Linked DNA regions of Oryzias latipes. The protein of the gene in region 2 purifies or fractionates together with the protein of the main gene of each other region. This does not show direct contact. Links are inferred from orthologs where the notes say so. Each region holds a gene or a part of one and is shown on either strand. Other genes may lie near its edges.

Region 1 (5,264 bases), on a different chromosome or scaffold from region 2:
CCCCGTTCTCTGGTTTACAGGCGTTGCTGTGGCTCTCAAACAGGCCATGACTCCCGAGTTCAAGGTCTACCAGCAGCAGGTTCTTGCTAACTGTAAAGCTCTGTCCAATGCCCTCGTGGGCCACGGCTACAAGATTGTTACTGGTAAGATCTGTAATTATATGGATTTTCTTCCATGGGATGTTTTCTGATGTTCTGTGTTTCTATAAAGGCGGTTCTGACAACCATCTAATCCTCCTGGACCTGCGCAACAAAGGTACTGATGGTGGACGAGCTGAGAAGGTGCTGGAGGCCTGTGCTATTGCCTGCAATAAGAACACCTGTCCAGGTATTCAGACATAAGCTGGGGTGCAAATGAGTTGATCAGTTTGTAAGCTTAAGAGGGAAGGAACCTTTCAAATATCTTTTTTTTTTTTGTTGTATTTTTGCAGGAGACAAGAGCGCTCTCCGTCCCAGTGGACTCAGGTTTGGCTCTCCAGCTCTGACCTCCAGGGGCTTGGTGGAGGAAGACTTCAAGAAGGTGGCTTTGTTCATCCACAAAGGTGCACCATCCATCTAAAAATGCTCCTAAAAACATAAAGTGATGTTTCTCAGGCAAAACGTGACTTTCGCCAATGTTTTTTCCTGTAGCTGTTGAATTGACCCTGGATGTGCAGAGGAGCCAGGATCCCAAAGCCACTCTGAAGGAGTTTGTCCAGGCTCTGGCTCAGGGAGAGAAGTTTCAGGAGCGAGTAGCTGCGCTGAGAGCCGAGGTGGAGGCTTTTGCCGGTCAGTTCCCCATGCCCGGCCTGCCGGAACTGTGAGGCCAGACGAGAGTTGGACTAACGTTTATTGTTTAAACACACCAGTCAATGGGTGTATTCTGACCTTAAAGCATTCCTCACTTGATAATTCAATAGAATTGTTTTTATTAAAGACACATTTAAGCTCAGTCCTGCAAATGTCATTGTGTCATGATTTAGTAATGTTACAGAGTCCTGATGTTTTACTTGGGATTCACATCTTTTAGATGTTACGATCAAAACTGACTGGAAATTCATGACTGGAATTTCGATTTTTAGTAAATTAAGTCCAAAAACATTCCATGAGTATGTGTAACTCATTCACTGTAATAAAAAGATTTCATGAAACCGCCAATGAATACTGTTTTTTCTTTGTCCTTTTAAAGACTAATACAATAAAATCTTCTTATTTTTATTGATATCTAAAGTTTTAGGTTATTTTGCCATATTCCTGATAACATCATTACTTCTGCTTTCTTTTGGTTTATTTTATAGCCTGAAACGTCTATATTCCTGTCAACATGACGTAAGTCTTGAAGCAACGGGCTTTTAACAAATAGCAAAATATCATTGGCATAAAGGGATCATTTATAAATAAACTCCTGTATGAATTTCTTGATGTATCATCTCTCTTAGAGGTTTGATACAAAAAAGGGTAGAGGGTAAGGTCTGACTCCCCTTTATTTTATTTTCTATTATTTAAAAAACTGTAATGTCCAATCATTTTTACTTTGATTTAGAGTTCTTGTACAGGCATCTAAACCAACAATTACATGTTTTTCCAAATTCGAACTAATAATCGAACTTGCAAAATGTCCAATCTATTTTGTCAAAAGCCTTTTCAGCATCTATGTATTGAAGTATTAAAGTATTGAATACTGTTTTTTTTTTCTTTTTCCACTGTAGAAAAACACAATAAAAGCTTAGAAAGCTTATTCTTGCTTAAACATGTCATATCATCATGCTTCCAATGATTATAAAATGCTGAACAATTACTCATTTCTGAAGCGTCGTGTTTCACCCTAAAACCAGCAGATCACAACGTTGTATTAGAGTCTCTTATGCAGTCAATGGATCAAATCATTTGGTTGATCATACCAGACTTTGAATGAGTGATTTTTTGTTTAGGAGAGGGGTTTGCAGTGATGAAGCATCAAAAGCATTTTGTATTCATGATCTGGTGTGTGACATGCTAATCTCTGAATTGAACTTTAACCTGTTTTTTGTTTATTTTTATAAATAATTGGACATGGAAATGCATACACGAGGTGCAAGTTAAGAAAAATGATCAGATGCACATACGTGTCCAATATGTCTAAACAATAAAATAGTAAAATAAATGAAATTTTCATTCGTTTTTGGTCATTTGCCAGAGGCAAAGTGTCAGAAATGAACAGGTTTGGTTAACTCAACGGTGACATCACTCGACTTGCTCGACAATCGTTTAGATCCGTCTGAATTCGTCAGGTCAGAGGTCAATGTGCGCGCGTCCTCAAACAGAACCTCTGTCGATTCGGAGACAAAAATATTAAGTCATGTTCACCTGTTTGTTTGGAAATAGTTGATATAAGGACTTCGGTGATCCTTACCTTATCTCATTGTTATCCTCTGCTCTTGTTGTTTCGCCTGGCTCGCCCCGTTAGCCACTTTAGCTGGCTAATGAGGGAATCGCCGGCTAACAGTTTCGACATTAAGCTATCTTAGCTTAAGTTAACCGAACAAGTCTTTGCTTTGAAAGCTACCAACTCAAGGCAAACATGCAGGAGCTACTAGCAAACGTGGATCACATCAAGTTCGACCTGGAGATCGCTGTGGAGCAGCAGCTGGGAGCGCAGCCTTTGCCGTTTCCCGGCATGGACAGTAAGTGCATGGATGCTAGCTTATGCTAATGCTAGCATCTTTTTTTGTTGAGAATAACCATAGTTTTTCTCAGGTTCGCCCTCTTTGGTTTCTGTTATTTTTAATAGAAACAACACGTTATAATTGTCAGTTCAGTTATAATGTTGTCTTTTTGCAGAGTCCGGCTCAGCTGTGTGCGAGTTCTTCATGAAGGGAACGTGTATGAAAGGTAAAGCATCTACAGTCAGAAGCATCTGTTGCGCTGCTATTATTATCTGCATTTAACAGTTTTAAATGTTCAGAAACGTTTTATTTGGAAGGAAACTGCAATGTTTACATGTTGTTGGTATCGTTTGTCATTTTAGTACGTTGTAGGCGGGAACCAGTTTACTATAACTTTTTTATTACAGAAATAATAAACCGCTGAAAAAAAGTTCTTTGATAAACTAAAGAGGTGGATACAACTATTTTTAAATATTTTTCTTTCATTTAAAATGGTTAATGGTGATTATTATTATTTCTTTCTGGATATGTTTGGTAAACTAAGTAAATTTAAACTTTTTTGTTTTCTTTGCAAAAGTTTGCTTTGAAATAATTATTCTTTAAAACCTTATTTGCATTCTATTGACAAACGCTAACTTGTAAAAAATGTTTAAAATAATTTTTAAACTTTATGAAATAACTCTTTAATAACCTTATTTCCTTTTTCTTAAATAATGAGCCAGAGCTTTAGTTACAAACTACTGCTGTTTGTAAAATCCTGATTTCATTTTTTTTTAATAGATGACTTACACTGATTAAGATTTTTACAGAATTTAGTTGGGACATTTGCCCGTTCGTGGCTTTCACTGTCGTGATGTTCAGTTTACCTTTTACAGCTCTATATTTCATTAACTTCTTGTGTTTTATTGTGATTTTCTGTATGTACTCAGTGTCACACTAAGGCAGACATGAGCAAAATACGGCTAAAAGGTCTGGATGTAATCATTTATGTAATCATTATTGTCTGGCCTTCTTACTTTTTATTTTGTCCTGTTTATGTGCACCCTAAAACCTGTTTTACATTTCTGGGGTTACAAAGAAGGCAGTTCTGCAGAGACTTTATTTTTAATCGTATGTCTATATTTGTGTGAGGTTTTGGTGGGTCACGCTTTCATATAAAAGTGAGGAAAACGATCCCTGCATGTGTCGTATGAATCCACAAAGCTGTGTCTGTGTCTCTCAGGTGGAATGTGTCCGTTCCGTCACATCAGCGGGGAGAAGACGGTGGTGTGTAAGCACTGGCTCAGAGGGCTCTGTAAGAAGGGAGACCAGTGCGAGTTTCTGCACGAATACGACATGACCAAGATGCCTGAATGCTATTTCTACTCAAAGTTTGGTGGGTTCACTTGACTTCCTCGTTTAAAACGCTTTCCATTGCTTAGCACGCAGGTCTGATAGATTCAAACTGTGTGTTGGCTCTCAGGTGAGTGCAGCAACAAGGAATGTCCCTTCCTGCACATCGATCCAGAGTCTAAGATCAAAGACTGTCCTTGGTACGACAGAGGCTTCTGCAAACACGGTAAGGTCCAGCCCAGTGTCAGGTTTTCGTGCTCTGGATTCGTTGTAACCCACATTTTTACCGTTTTTATTTTTTATTTGATTCGGAAAGAGGCTTTATTTTGAAAAATTTCTGAATTCTCCCCACCACATCTGACTCATTCTTGACACATAACAAATTGCTCAGTGACGTGCTGACAAAAACGCAAATGTTCCTGGAAAGTTTTTTTTGTTCATAGAGCATATTAAGTGAGGAAACAGAAGAAGAGCCTTTATCTTCAAAATACAAGAAATCTGCATTTGAACAGACAAAAACCAGGAGTCTTTACTGCAAATGTGGATTCATTGTGACAGTTGTTCCCACACGCCATAACAATGGGGCATCATATTCAGCAACCTGCTGTGTAATGTTACGAGGATGTTTGCAAATAACGTTGCTGAAATGGTTTATTAGTATGTTTAGAAAATACAATTTTTAGACACAATTATTTTTCATATTTATCTGTCCTTAAAAGTCAGACGAGGCTGAAGTTGGAATTCGATTTTTGTAGCTTCCACTTTGACAGTTATGGATTAACGGGCCTGTATCCTGCTTTTCTTAAGCCTTTCAGGGTGAACTATATCCATAGAAATACAAATATTTTACAGACGATGAAGATAAACTTGACCCTCAAAAGTTAAAGGGAAACTGAAGGCAAAGATAAAAAAAAGTTGGTCGTCCCTTTCAGTCTCATACAGACTGCTGTGTGAAAATATTGACTGTTCAATCAGACCGGGGCCTGAAAAAAGTTGGGAACCACTGATATAAGTAATCTTCATTTTGTTCTCCTTCCCCACTAGGTCCTGACTGCAGACACAGACACACCAGAAGAGTGATCTGTGTGAATTATCTGGTGGGCTTCTGTCCAGAAGGCAAATCCTGTAAATTTATGCAGTAAGTAAACATTTCTGCTTTCAATAATGGTGTAATTGGTTTGGGTAAAGTTCTGAATGTGAGCGACATCATGTGATGATAAATGTTCCTCTGCAGCCCGCGGTTTGAGTTGCCTATGGGAACATCTGAACAGCCCCCTCTACCACAGCAAATACAAAACCAGGGAAAGGT
Region 2 (4,207 bases):
TGATGAGTTTAGGGAGAGCCTGGATGACTTCATTCTATAGATAACCAAAAACAAACAGGAATAGTAAAGACAATCCCGAAAAATCCTAGCGGTTGATTCACTGACTGTTAACTAGACTGGCACCTTTTCAAGACCATTTATGACGGGGATTAGGAAGCGAACATCTGGCACTCTTTTGTGGTAAAGGTCTCGCACCCTCTCCACCAGCTCTGGTGATGGTGGCACTACAATAAAGACAGTTTCCACATATTTCATTGTACGCTCTCATGGAGGACAATGCACCAAATCATGCAAAAATACATTTTCCTTTCAGAAAAATCTCCACTCTGTGACCTAAATCCAGTACAAATTAAACATTACCTTTATCAGTCAATATGTGCAGGCAGCGAGTGACCAGAGTCTCTGCTCCTTTAGGACAATTTTCAACCAGCAGTAGCAGCTCTGGAGAGTTCATCCCCATTCCACGAATCTAAAGCAAAGAGATAAATCAAAAAGCACAAACTACTCAAATGATTTAGTTCAAATCATTTCCTTTTTGATTTTCTTGAGGTCTTGTGAAAGCCCTTCATCAGACTTTAAAAAGGTACAGAGATCTAATATCTCGTTCTGCTCTCAAACTGTTTGTTTTTGTTCATAAGGAAGAGGTGTGAGGTGAGAAGTTTCAAGAATGTAGAGAAAAACTGAAAATAGGGAGAAAAAAAGGAAATTTTTGTTGAAACATGAAATCAAACAAAAAAATTTAGACTAATTTAAGATGTACACAAAAACATTTCAATTGGTGTTTAAAGGCACTTCCTTAAAAGGAAAAGTAGTAGAATAATTTCTTTTTCTGATGGAATGTACAAACTAACTCATGTACTGAAGTTTATAATGGTAAACCCATAAATAGGTCAAAATACAATTAAAATAAACCTGCATTACAGTGGCATTACTGCTGACCAATTAAAACATTCTCATCATTTCATCAATGGAAGCATGAACTCTGATTTTATTTTATGTTTTGTTTTAATTTGCGTGATTTAGGCAAAACCATAAAGTTAAAAAGTTTGACTGTTAAATTGTTTTTTTTATTATTATTCTGAGGGGTTGGTTTATGTTTCACGCTGCTTATGACTCAAACAACCCAAACTTTCCTAAACAAATGAGTGAGGAAAGCCTTACAGGCTGCTCTATTGCTCGGAGGACGCTGCGTTTGATGTCAGCAATGGCTTCAGTGTAGACGGAAGCCAGCTCGTGGACCAGCCGGTGGTTCAAAGGAAGCAGGGACAGGTAAAGGAAAAGACACTGTCTCACTGTCTCTTCAGTCCAGGGGGCAGCCACCTCTGTGTCAACAAATGCAAAGAGCATTGAGGCAAAAATGTGAAGATCGCATCATCACAATCATAAGTCAGATATGTTATGAACAAACCTGTATCCTTGTCGGCTCCAAAGAGCAAAGATGGCGGGTTGGGGTGAACCAGAAGCTGCAGGTAGTTTAGAGCAAACTTCTCGATGTAATCCCTCAGTTGGTCTTTCTCATACATGCGCTTCAGAAAAGCCAAGGCAGTGGTGCGCACCTGAAATGGAAGAGCAGATATTTAGCACAAGAACAGATCAGACACGTGCCCATCCCAGCATCACCTTCTCTTTCTCGTTGGAGCTGAGATCCAGAAGCACGTGCAGATACTGAAACTGCCTGGAGGGCCGCTTGACTATGAGCTCCTTCAGAGTTGTCATTCCTAAATATACGCGAGACTGAAACGAAAGGAAATGGCTCACAGAATGCTGAAGGAAAGGTTGAGAAGTAGCCACCGGAGTACAGCTGGGCTTTTTTGTGTTTTGTTTTTTTACCTCGTCCTCACAGTAACGCCGGATTACTTCTAATGCAGATTCGGTTATAATGGGAGCCTCCAGTACCAGCTTGGTGAAAAGCCTAGAAATAAGGAACACACAAATCTTCCTATACATACACAGCAACCAAAGCAATGTAGCAAATCTTGATACCAAGCATGTGTTCTTACCCATCCCTCTGCTCAGGCTTCTCCTGCAGGCCTGACAGCAGAGTGAAAAGACACTGATCATAGCTGTCCAGCAGGCCTGAAGGGAGCTGGCTGAGGTAAGTGTTATACTCTTGGTAGAGCAGAGAAAAGGCCAGATCACTCCTTGACCGGATGTCCTCTAAAATAAATTGAAGTACGTCCTCTTTCATCATTCCTTCAAACTGTGTCACAAGTCTGGAGAGGAGCTTTACTCTGATCTGCAACACAGATTTTACATTCTTATACCCCAAAGGAAGGAAATAGACTGACCCTATCCAGTTTTAACCCCCCTGCACTCGTTAAAGTCAAGATGTATCCTGATTTGGGTTACTCACATGGGACATTCCACTTTGTGCAATCGCTTTCTCTGAATGTAAAATGCGCTTCACAGCGCTTGAAGTCAACTTCTCATTCTGGGTGTCTGATAGAGGCTGAACAACATCTGACAAGCGGAACACTTTTTTCCTACCGCTTGCCCCCATCAACCTGTAAAGAACCAGAATCATGCGGGGTGACAAGCGAGATCTCACCCTCTTTGCTGTCTGAATGAAGTGCTAGAACTCACTTGGTTGGTGCAGATGGAAGGATGGGCTCTGGAAGCCTCTTTGGTGCGGCTGGAGGTTCCGTAGCAGAGGGCTTCTCGGAGTAACCTCCGACCACAGAGATGGCTTGGCCCAAGATCACAGCAGGAACTTTGCGTTTGATGAGAATGTCTTTAGCAGTAGAGTCTTCCTCGCTCTGTTCCTCTTTGCAAGCCTCATCCCCCTTTGCTTTGCTTTGTTCAAGACCTAAGGTTCAAAGTTCAGAAAATGCTCATATAAGACAAACCAGCATCTTTGAGGATTCTTATTTCGTTTTATGTTTTTTTCTTTTACTATGAAGTGTTTCTGGTGCACGTTTGTGATGCTCACCTGGACCAATTCCAGCTGCAGTCATCTGTGTAGCCATCATCCTGGCCAGATGTTTAATCTGCGCATCAGTACCTGCAGATTCAACAGGTGTGTATGTGGCCTGGAAAGATGCTGGCATCACATCAGGCAGATACACCATGCTGATGAGCACCTAAACCGAGGTAATGAAGAGTTTTAGGACACAAACCCTCAGAAAAAAAGACAGCCTGAGAATGATCTCAGACACTTACGAGGTTGGCGACATTTTCAGGAGTTAGCAGCGGGTGAAGGAACTCGGCCGTAAGGTCAAGGGCAGACTGCACGGCTGGAACGGCCGCTGGCTTGGGGGCTGCGAGGGGGGCTGGCTCCTCCTTGTCTTCATCATCTTCCATAAGAGCTGGTTCTAAACAGTAGAACACGCACCATAAATCAATAAAGAAACCATGTGTCTTTGCAAAAGCAATTTTAAAAAACCATAATAAATAAAGAAACCATGTGTCTTTGCAAAAGCAATTTTTATAGGCCTCCGATGCCCAAATATGGTTAGACATGAGTTATGCTAATTTCATTCAGAATATTCCCAAAAACAACATTATTGGAATAAAAAAAGAAGAAGAAAAGAAAACCTGTAATGAAACGGGATCGGAGTACCCAAAATATGTTTTAAATTCAAAAAATGTCTGTAATTGTTGTCACAAATTAAAACAAATCCATAGTGAATTTATAATCCACACTGATAGCACAAAATGAAACATTAAAATATAAACCGTGGGGGAATTAAGAAAAGAGCAAGAATAACCTAAAATTTTGAATCTAAAATTCTATTTCTATTAGTCAATCTAAAACTACAGAGTCACCACACAGTAATCTAAAGAATCTCTGGGTGTGATGCTGCTGCAATAGAGACTAACCTGTGCAGAAAGAAAAACTAAGTAAAGCAAAGTTACAGCCTCTGCAAGTGATGGCAAGAAAACAAACACTCGTAATCTTTCAACAAGTCCTTTAAAGACTGTTTTTTTTTTATAAAAATGTTATTTTCTAAGGCAGTCTGCATTTTTGTGGTGAACTACTCACCAATCTTGACCTTCTTTCCCTCTGTGTATTGCTCATAGCGAGGCCTCTTGCGAGGCTCTCGTGGTACAGGAGTGTTTCGAGTTATCTCAGTCTGAGGCATTCCCAGATCCAGCAGCAAAGTGCTGATCTGACCCTGGAACTCCACACTGCACGGATGTTTGAGAACTGCCACCAAGTGCAGCTTTAAGTTTTTTCGAACACTGCTAACCTGAGATTTGGCCAGAG
Region 3 (5,262 bases), on a different chromosome or scaffold from region 2:
AAAGCATCCTCCTGCTGCCCACTGCAGCCAGCTCAGACTCTTCAGGTGCCAAGATCCAATTCAAACGATGGTAAAAGACAAGGAAAAAAAGAGTGTTAGCAACACTTGTATCCCACTGGTGACAGACAGAATGAGATCTGCAAAGCCACATCTGATTAAAAACAAACAAAACAAAAAAACAACCAACTCTTTAAAACACTCAGCTCTGCTAACAGTGGAGCTAACCTGCTGCCTCTGTGCCCGGTGCAACTGCCATGCATCCCTGTTCGCATCACTGACCCACCTAGTAGCATGTGACATGGCTGCTGATGCACTCGCACGCCCCTGCTAATGACATCAGCTCCCCCTCCACCCCCACCTCCTTGCTGAACAACTCAGTAATGAAAAATTCCAGTTGCGCCGGCCGGCTGAATGAAGTACGTCCCTCTGTGGTGGGTGCACAGCGGCTCAGTTAGCGGTGGTGGCAGCTGCTGCTTACCGTATCTGCTCTGGCTTTCTGAGTGAGCAGACCACGACTGGAGGGAGGGGGGGAGTCGAGGGACAGAACTACAACAGAATGGTGGGAGGAAGTCTGGCAGTGAGTGACTCAGCAGACTTTGACTCTAAAGTATTTTAAACCCAAAGAAGTAGGATTTTTTTAATAACTTCAGTTTGAAACTTCTGACATAAAAAGGTTTCTAAAACAAAAAGGGAGACTGGCATTTAAGCACATTTTTGCAGGAGCAGCTGACTGATCAGATGATGAGGTTTGAGCTATTTTGCACTGCCAGCTCCTCCTCTCCCCACAACTGGAAAGCTACCAGCATCCAGTCGTACCTCTGATTCAGCAACTCAATCTGGGCTGGAGAGGGCAAAGGCCACAGCAGAGGTTTAGGTCAGTTAGCAAAAAAAAAAAAAAAACTAACAGATTTACACTTCTGATTCATGATGCTGATGAAGAGGGAAAATATTGTGCAACTATGTTTTAAAGAAAAGGTTATTCTAGAGAAGAGAAAAAAAAAAGTTATGCAAAAACAATGCTGAGCTTTTCCTGGCAATTCCCACCGAGTAAGAAAGGAAGAAATGGCCGTTTAAAACTGGTGCAATGCTGCAGACTATTGATGCAGCATGAATCAGCTGTTGGCAAGGCAAGTGATAAACGAAAAGGTGAGAGATTTAACAGACCATGAGGCAAAACACTTGAGTGCCTTGAAATGTCTTGATTTATTTTAAGTGTTCAGTGATATTAAGTGTTCAGTGATATTTTAATTATGCCATTTCTGGGACAAGAAAAAAAGTTTTGACAATTTTTGCAGAGTAAAGCAAGAGTTAATTAGAAATTCGCCTCCAAGTTGTAGGTGGGACCCCACTTCCTGCCACACATTTACGCCCTCTCCCACTGGCTTACAGCCCTTCACAACCCTAACCCAACATTAGCAGTGCAGCGACAAAGATGGTGAGCAATATTGAAGCCGTCCAGCTTCGAGTCAGATGCCAGCTCGGAGGAAGGTTAGGAAATTGGGCAAAGTGGAAAACTTGTGGTCCATTAATTGCAGTTTCAACGTCACAAATACACTTTGTGCAGCTCTGCTCCCGTTTCATTACAATTTCAATAACACTTGGAAATGCCATTTAAGCTGAATTTACTTTATACATGTCCATTAGAAAAATGCCACAAAAAACATGTTTTATATTTTTTTTAAAAACTGTTGGGCCTTTACAATAGGTAACTAAACACAACTTTGCTGCCCAAATTCCAATTAAAACTGTTTAACGTGTAAAAGGCATTTCTCAAAAACAACCTTTTGAGTATGCATTCCAATTTTTTGTTTTTAAATCAGGAGCAGACGACGTAAATACTGTGGGACAAAGCCTGAAGCAGTGATGTAGGTGCTAAAAATCGGCAGGCCACAAGCTCCCTGCTTAGCTCCGTTCTGATGAGTCCACTTGCAGATGACGAGATGCTTTCAAGTCTTTTTTCCACGTCCGAGCCGGCATCTGGCTCAAAACTGTGTGGCTGGTTAGCTCCAGTTTTGCTCACCATTTTTGTTGCGTCGCCAATTTTAAGTTGGGGGTGTGAGCAGCTTAAGCTAGTGTGTGTGTGTGTACACAAAGGGATGATGGGAAATGAGGGCAGCCTTACTCTGCTCCAACTGTCTGATTTTCCAAATGTCCCAGAAAACAGATTTTTTAAAAACTCAAATGATTATTAGGTAAACTGAGCTACCCATGCAAGATTAATTTATTGGAACATTTGTATTACAAAAAAAAAAAAAAAAAAAAGATTTAAATTAAAATTTAGTTAAAAAAACATTTTGAGTTGTTACTTCTACATTTAGCTTTCCAAAGCACAAGATCTTTGAAGTTATGGATATAAAGTGTCCCAAATTCAGTGGTGGTAAATTGTTAGGTCGTGACCTTTAGGACAGCAAAGTGACCCAATCAGAGTTTAAGTTCATATAAAAGCCACAGTTCCATGAAAAGTCACAGAAGTTACCATTTCATTGACTGCTTAAGCTAGCTGACAACCAACAAGCTAGTAATTCAAAGTTAACTCGGTCCCGCGTGTGAAGACAGAAATGTAACAAGTCACCACATAGCAGGTCTGGCTTCTGCTTGCTGCTACTGTTGGGTGTGCTGCACACTCCGGTGAAGTCCAGAGCGTTTCCCAGGATGGAGTTCATCCTGCGGAAGATGTCCGCGTTGCTGCAGGTGGACAGCGCAGGAGACTCGGTGTCCGGGTTCTCCGGCCTGCGGGCATCGTTCCTCTGCGAGAAAAAGAGCGGCCAAAGTTCACCTCCAATTAAGCTAACACTCATTAGCACACAGTTTTTAATATTATATTTATTTTGTTAAAGAAACGTTGTCATTTAGTTTTATAGAGACGATACCAACGGTGTTTTATAACCAAAAAATTAACGGACTCCCTCACTAATTTAATTTTCAACTCACCAAGGAAAACGCCATAATGTGGACAGAAAGCCTAAAAAGAAGTGTCACAATAATAACGACCCCTGCCTGTAGGGAAAGAGTCACATTTATGAGGTTTGCTTGAAACTAATTAGTCATGATGTGACAAACGTGTGGTCGACTCATGTCTGCGCCTCGAGGGCCGTCGTCTGCTCACGTGACCCACATGATCAGAGCTTGTCCAAAACTCTAGAAAAGTAAAATCTTTATGTTTTACCCTTAAAACCGCTTTGTTTGAAAGAAATATGATATGTATGGTTTAAAAAGGTAACTAACAATAGCACGCTATTTTAGAAGGGGAAAAAAGGTTATATATTTATTTAAAAAAGGGCATTTTCTTTACTAGTGGTTCTAAAATGGAATGTACCACTCAATGGTCCATTGTGACACTTCAGGACTCACTTTAAATATTGTCGTTACGCTATACAAATCCTCAGAAATGACTTTAACAAACATTTTTCATAATAATTAAATTATTTAATTAGATCCTCGAAATATTTTTTTCCAGACTCCCCCAAAACAACAGTACTTAAGCGAGACTTCTCAAACCCAAACATTGACTATGAACCCAGCAGCAGTCACTGAGAATGACTTTTTTATGTGTGTGTGTGTGTATATATATATACACACACACATATATATATATATATACACACACACACACACACATATATATATATATATATGTATATATATATATATATATATATATATGTATATATATATATATATATGTATATATATATATATATATATATATATATATATATATATATATATATATATATATATATATATATATATATATATATATATATATATATATATATATATATATATATATATATATGTATATGTATATATATATATATATATATATATATATATATATATATATATATATATATATATATATATATATATATATATATACATTAACATTAACTAAAAAAGCAAAGAACGACTTATCTTTGTGGTTGGTGTCTAATTTCACTAGTGTTTTTTTTCTTCTAAAGAAAAAGAAAGAGAAAACATGGAAACTTTTTGTAGTTTAATAAGTCATAGGATGCTGTTTTTCATAAACAAACTGGACTTGTTTAATTTTTTGTTTTATTGTTTTTAATGCTTTTTTCTCTTTACAATGTTTATTTTCTTGTAGTTTTTTTTCTGTTTTGTGCATATCAGGGAGTGCATCATCAAAAAAAATGTAGAAGCAGAGATCATGATTCTTAAACAGTCTTTTTGAAAACAGAAATGAACTACCAGTATGCAGGTAAATAAAATGCAAATAGTAATAAATTAGAACATTTATTTTTAAATGACAAGTTAAAAAGGTGGGTCTTCTTTTTAAATTCCTCAACTCCAGATGAAGTTCTCAGATCCCGCAGGGAGGCTGTTCTGCAGAAGAGACCCAAATTCCTCGAATTAGGTTTTTGTTTTTATGCCTGAAAAATGCCTGATTTAACCGGACCAACGCTGGATTTACACCGGTTTGTCTAAGGTGCGTCTGATATTTCTCATAAATCTTTATTGTGAAAGTACAACGGAAGCCTTTTATTTTGATAGCCGGATGTGTTTGCTGTTTCTCTGGCTTTTTACCATGAAATTGGCGCGTCGACGGACAGGAAATAGAACTCCCTGCGTAAAGCTTGCGTTGCGTGGCGGACGGAAGTCAGACGCAGACATGATGGAGGCGACGTAAACATCACTTCTATTGATTTAGTGAACGTTCTGTTATTTTGTGGCAACGCAACGCAGTGTTGACGCACTGCAGACGGACTAGTACATATCAGGCGTTAGGAGTTCCGTTGTACTGTCAAAATAAAGCTTTATAAAATGTTGTGTTATGTTTAAGGGAAAGTGACCACGCAATAACCATAACGCGCCTAGTACCACCGCGGAAAACACCAACAATGGACGACGAACGTTTAATTTTAGAAGTACAAAAACACAACATCCTTTATGACACAAAACATCTATTTTACAAGGACTCAGTGAGGAAGGAGAGGGCATGGGGCCTGATTGCCAACGTCATGGATATTGATGGTGAGTAAAATCTCTTATTTCAATCATTTAAATTATTGGTGTAACACTTAGGTCGTAGGGCTTTAACTAGCTTTGTATCTTCAAGTCATCCAAAACTGCTGTAAACGATCCCCTGAACTGAAGCTATGTGGTTTCATCAATGAGTTATATCACTAGAGGAGACATCACGTGGTTCCTCATGGGAGGAGAGCACCGCCATCTTGGTGAGGTCAAGTTACTGCTGCAGTGAATGCATGTGAACACATTTTTTGCATAATGCCAGTTCAT

The links. The genes of interacting proteins can lie anywhere in the genome.
Region 1: the proteins of sympk (region 2) and cpsf4 purify together in Homo sapiens (affinity purification with mass spectrometry; 4 studies listed by BioGRID and IntAct, counting the BioPlex papers as one, with this or other methods). This does not show direct contact. The link is inferred for Oryzias latipes from reciprocal best matches to the Homo sapiens genes SYMPK and CPSF4.
Region 3: the proteins of sympk (region 2) and cpeb1 purify together in Homo sapiens (affinity purification with mass spectrometry; 3 studies listed by BioGRID and IntAct, counting the BioPlex papers as one, with this or other methods). This does not show direct contact. The link is inferred for Oryzias latipes from reciprocal best matches to the Homo sapiens genes SYMPK and CPEB1.

The regions. Positions count from the first base shown.
Region 1 is NC_019866.2:19,283,094-19,288,357, reverse strand, and holds the start of cpsf4 (cleavage and polyadenylation specificity factor subunit 4), read left to right. Parts: upstream 1-2,223; 5' UTR 2,224-2,538; coding exon 2,539-2,641; intron 2,642-2,798; coding exon 2,799-2,849; intron 2,850-3,845; coding exon 3,846-3,998; intron 3,999-4,085; coding exon 4,086-4,181; intron 4,182-4,999; coding exon 5,000-5,093; intron 5,094-5,189; coding exon 5,190-5,262; intron 5,263-5,264. Other genes in the region: shmt1 (serine hydroxymethyltransferase, cytosolic), read left to right, coding at 21-143, 211-327, 431-541, 630-802. UniProt on the Homo sapiens protein: Component of the cleavage and polyadenylation specificity factor (CPSF) complex that play a key role in pre-mRNA 3'-end formation, recognizing the AAUAAA signal sequence and interacting with poly(A) polymerase and other factors to bring about cleavage and poly(A) addition.
Region 2 is NC_019879.2:16,687,621-16,691,827, forward strand, and holds part of sympk (symplekin), read right to left. Parts: coding exon 3,983-4,207; intron 3,312-3,982; coding exon 3,160-3,311; intron 3,081-3,159; coding exon 2,930-3,080; intron 2,807-2,929; coding exon 2,584-2,806; intron 2,505-2,583; coding exon 2,354-2,504; intron 2,237-2,353; coding exon 2,001-2,236; intron 1,913-2,000; coding exon 1,831-1,912; intron 1,735-1,830; coding exon 1,621-1,734; intron 1,557-1,620; coding exon 1,409-1,556; intron 1,323-1,408; coding exon 1,162-1,322; intron 470-1,161; coding exon 361-469; intron 225-360; coding exon 124-224; intron 35-123; coding exon 1-34. UniProt on the Homo sapiens protein: Scaffold protein that functions as a component of a multimolecular complex involved in histone mRNA 3'-end processing. Specific component of the tight junction (TJ) plaque, but might not be an exclusively junctional component. May have a house-keeping rule.
Region 3 is NC_019861.2:10,606,734-10,611,995, reverse strand, and holds the start of cpeb1 (cytoplasmic polyadenylation element-binding protein 1), read right to left. Parts: upstream 3,042-5,262; 5' UTR 2,947-3,041; coding exon 2,932-2,946; intron 2,748-2,931; coding exon 2,573-2,747; intron 471-2,572; exon of another isoform or gene 257-470; coding exon of another isoform or gene 226-256; intron 40-225; coding exon 1-39. Other genes in the region: transcription factor Adf-1-like, read left to right, coding at 4,863-4,995.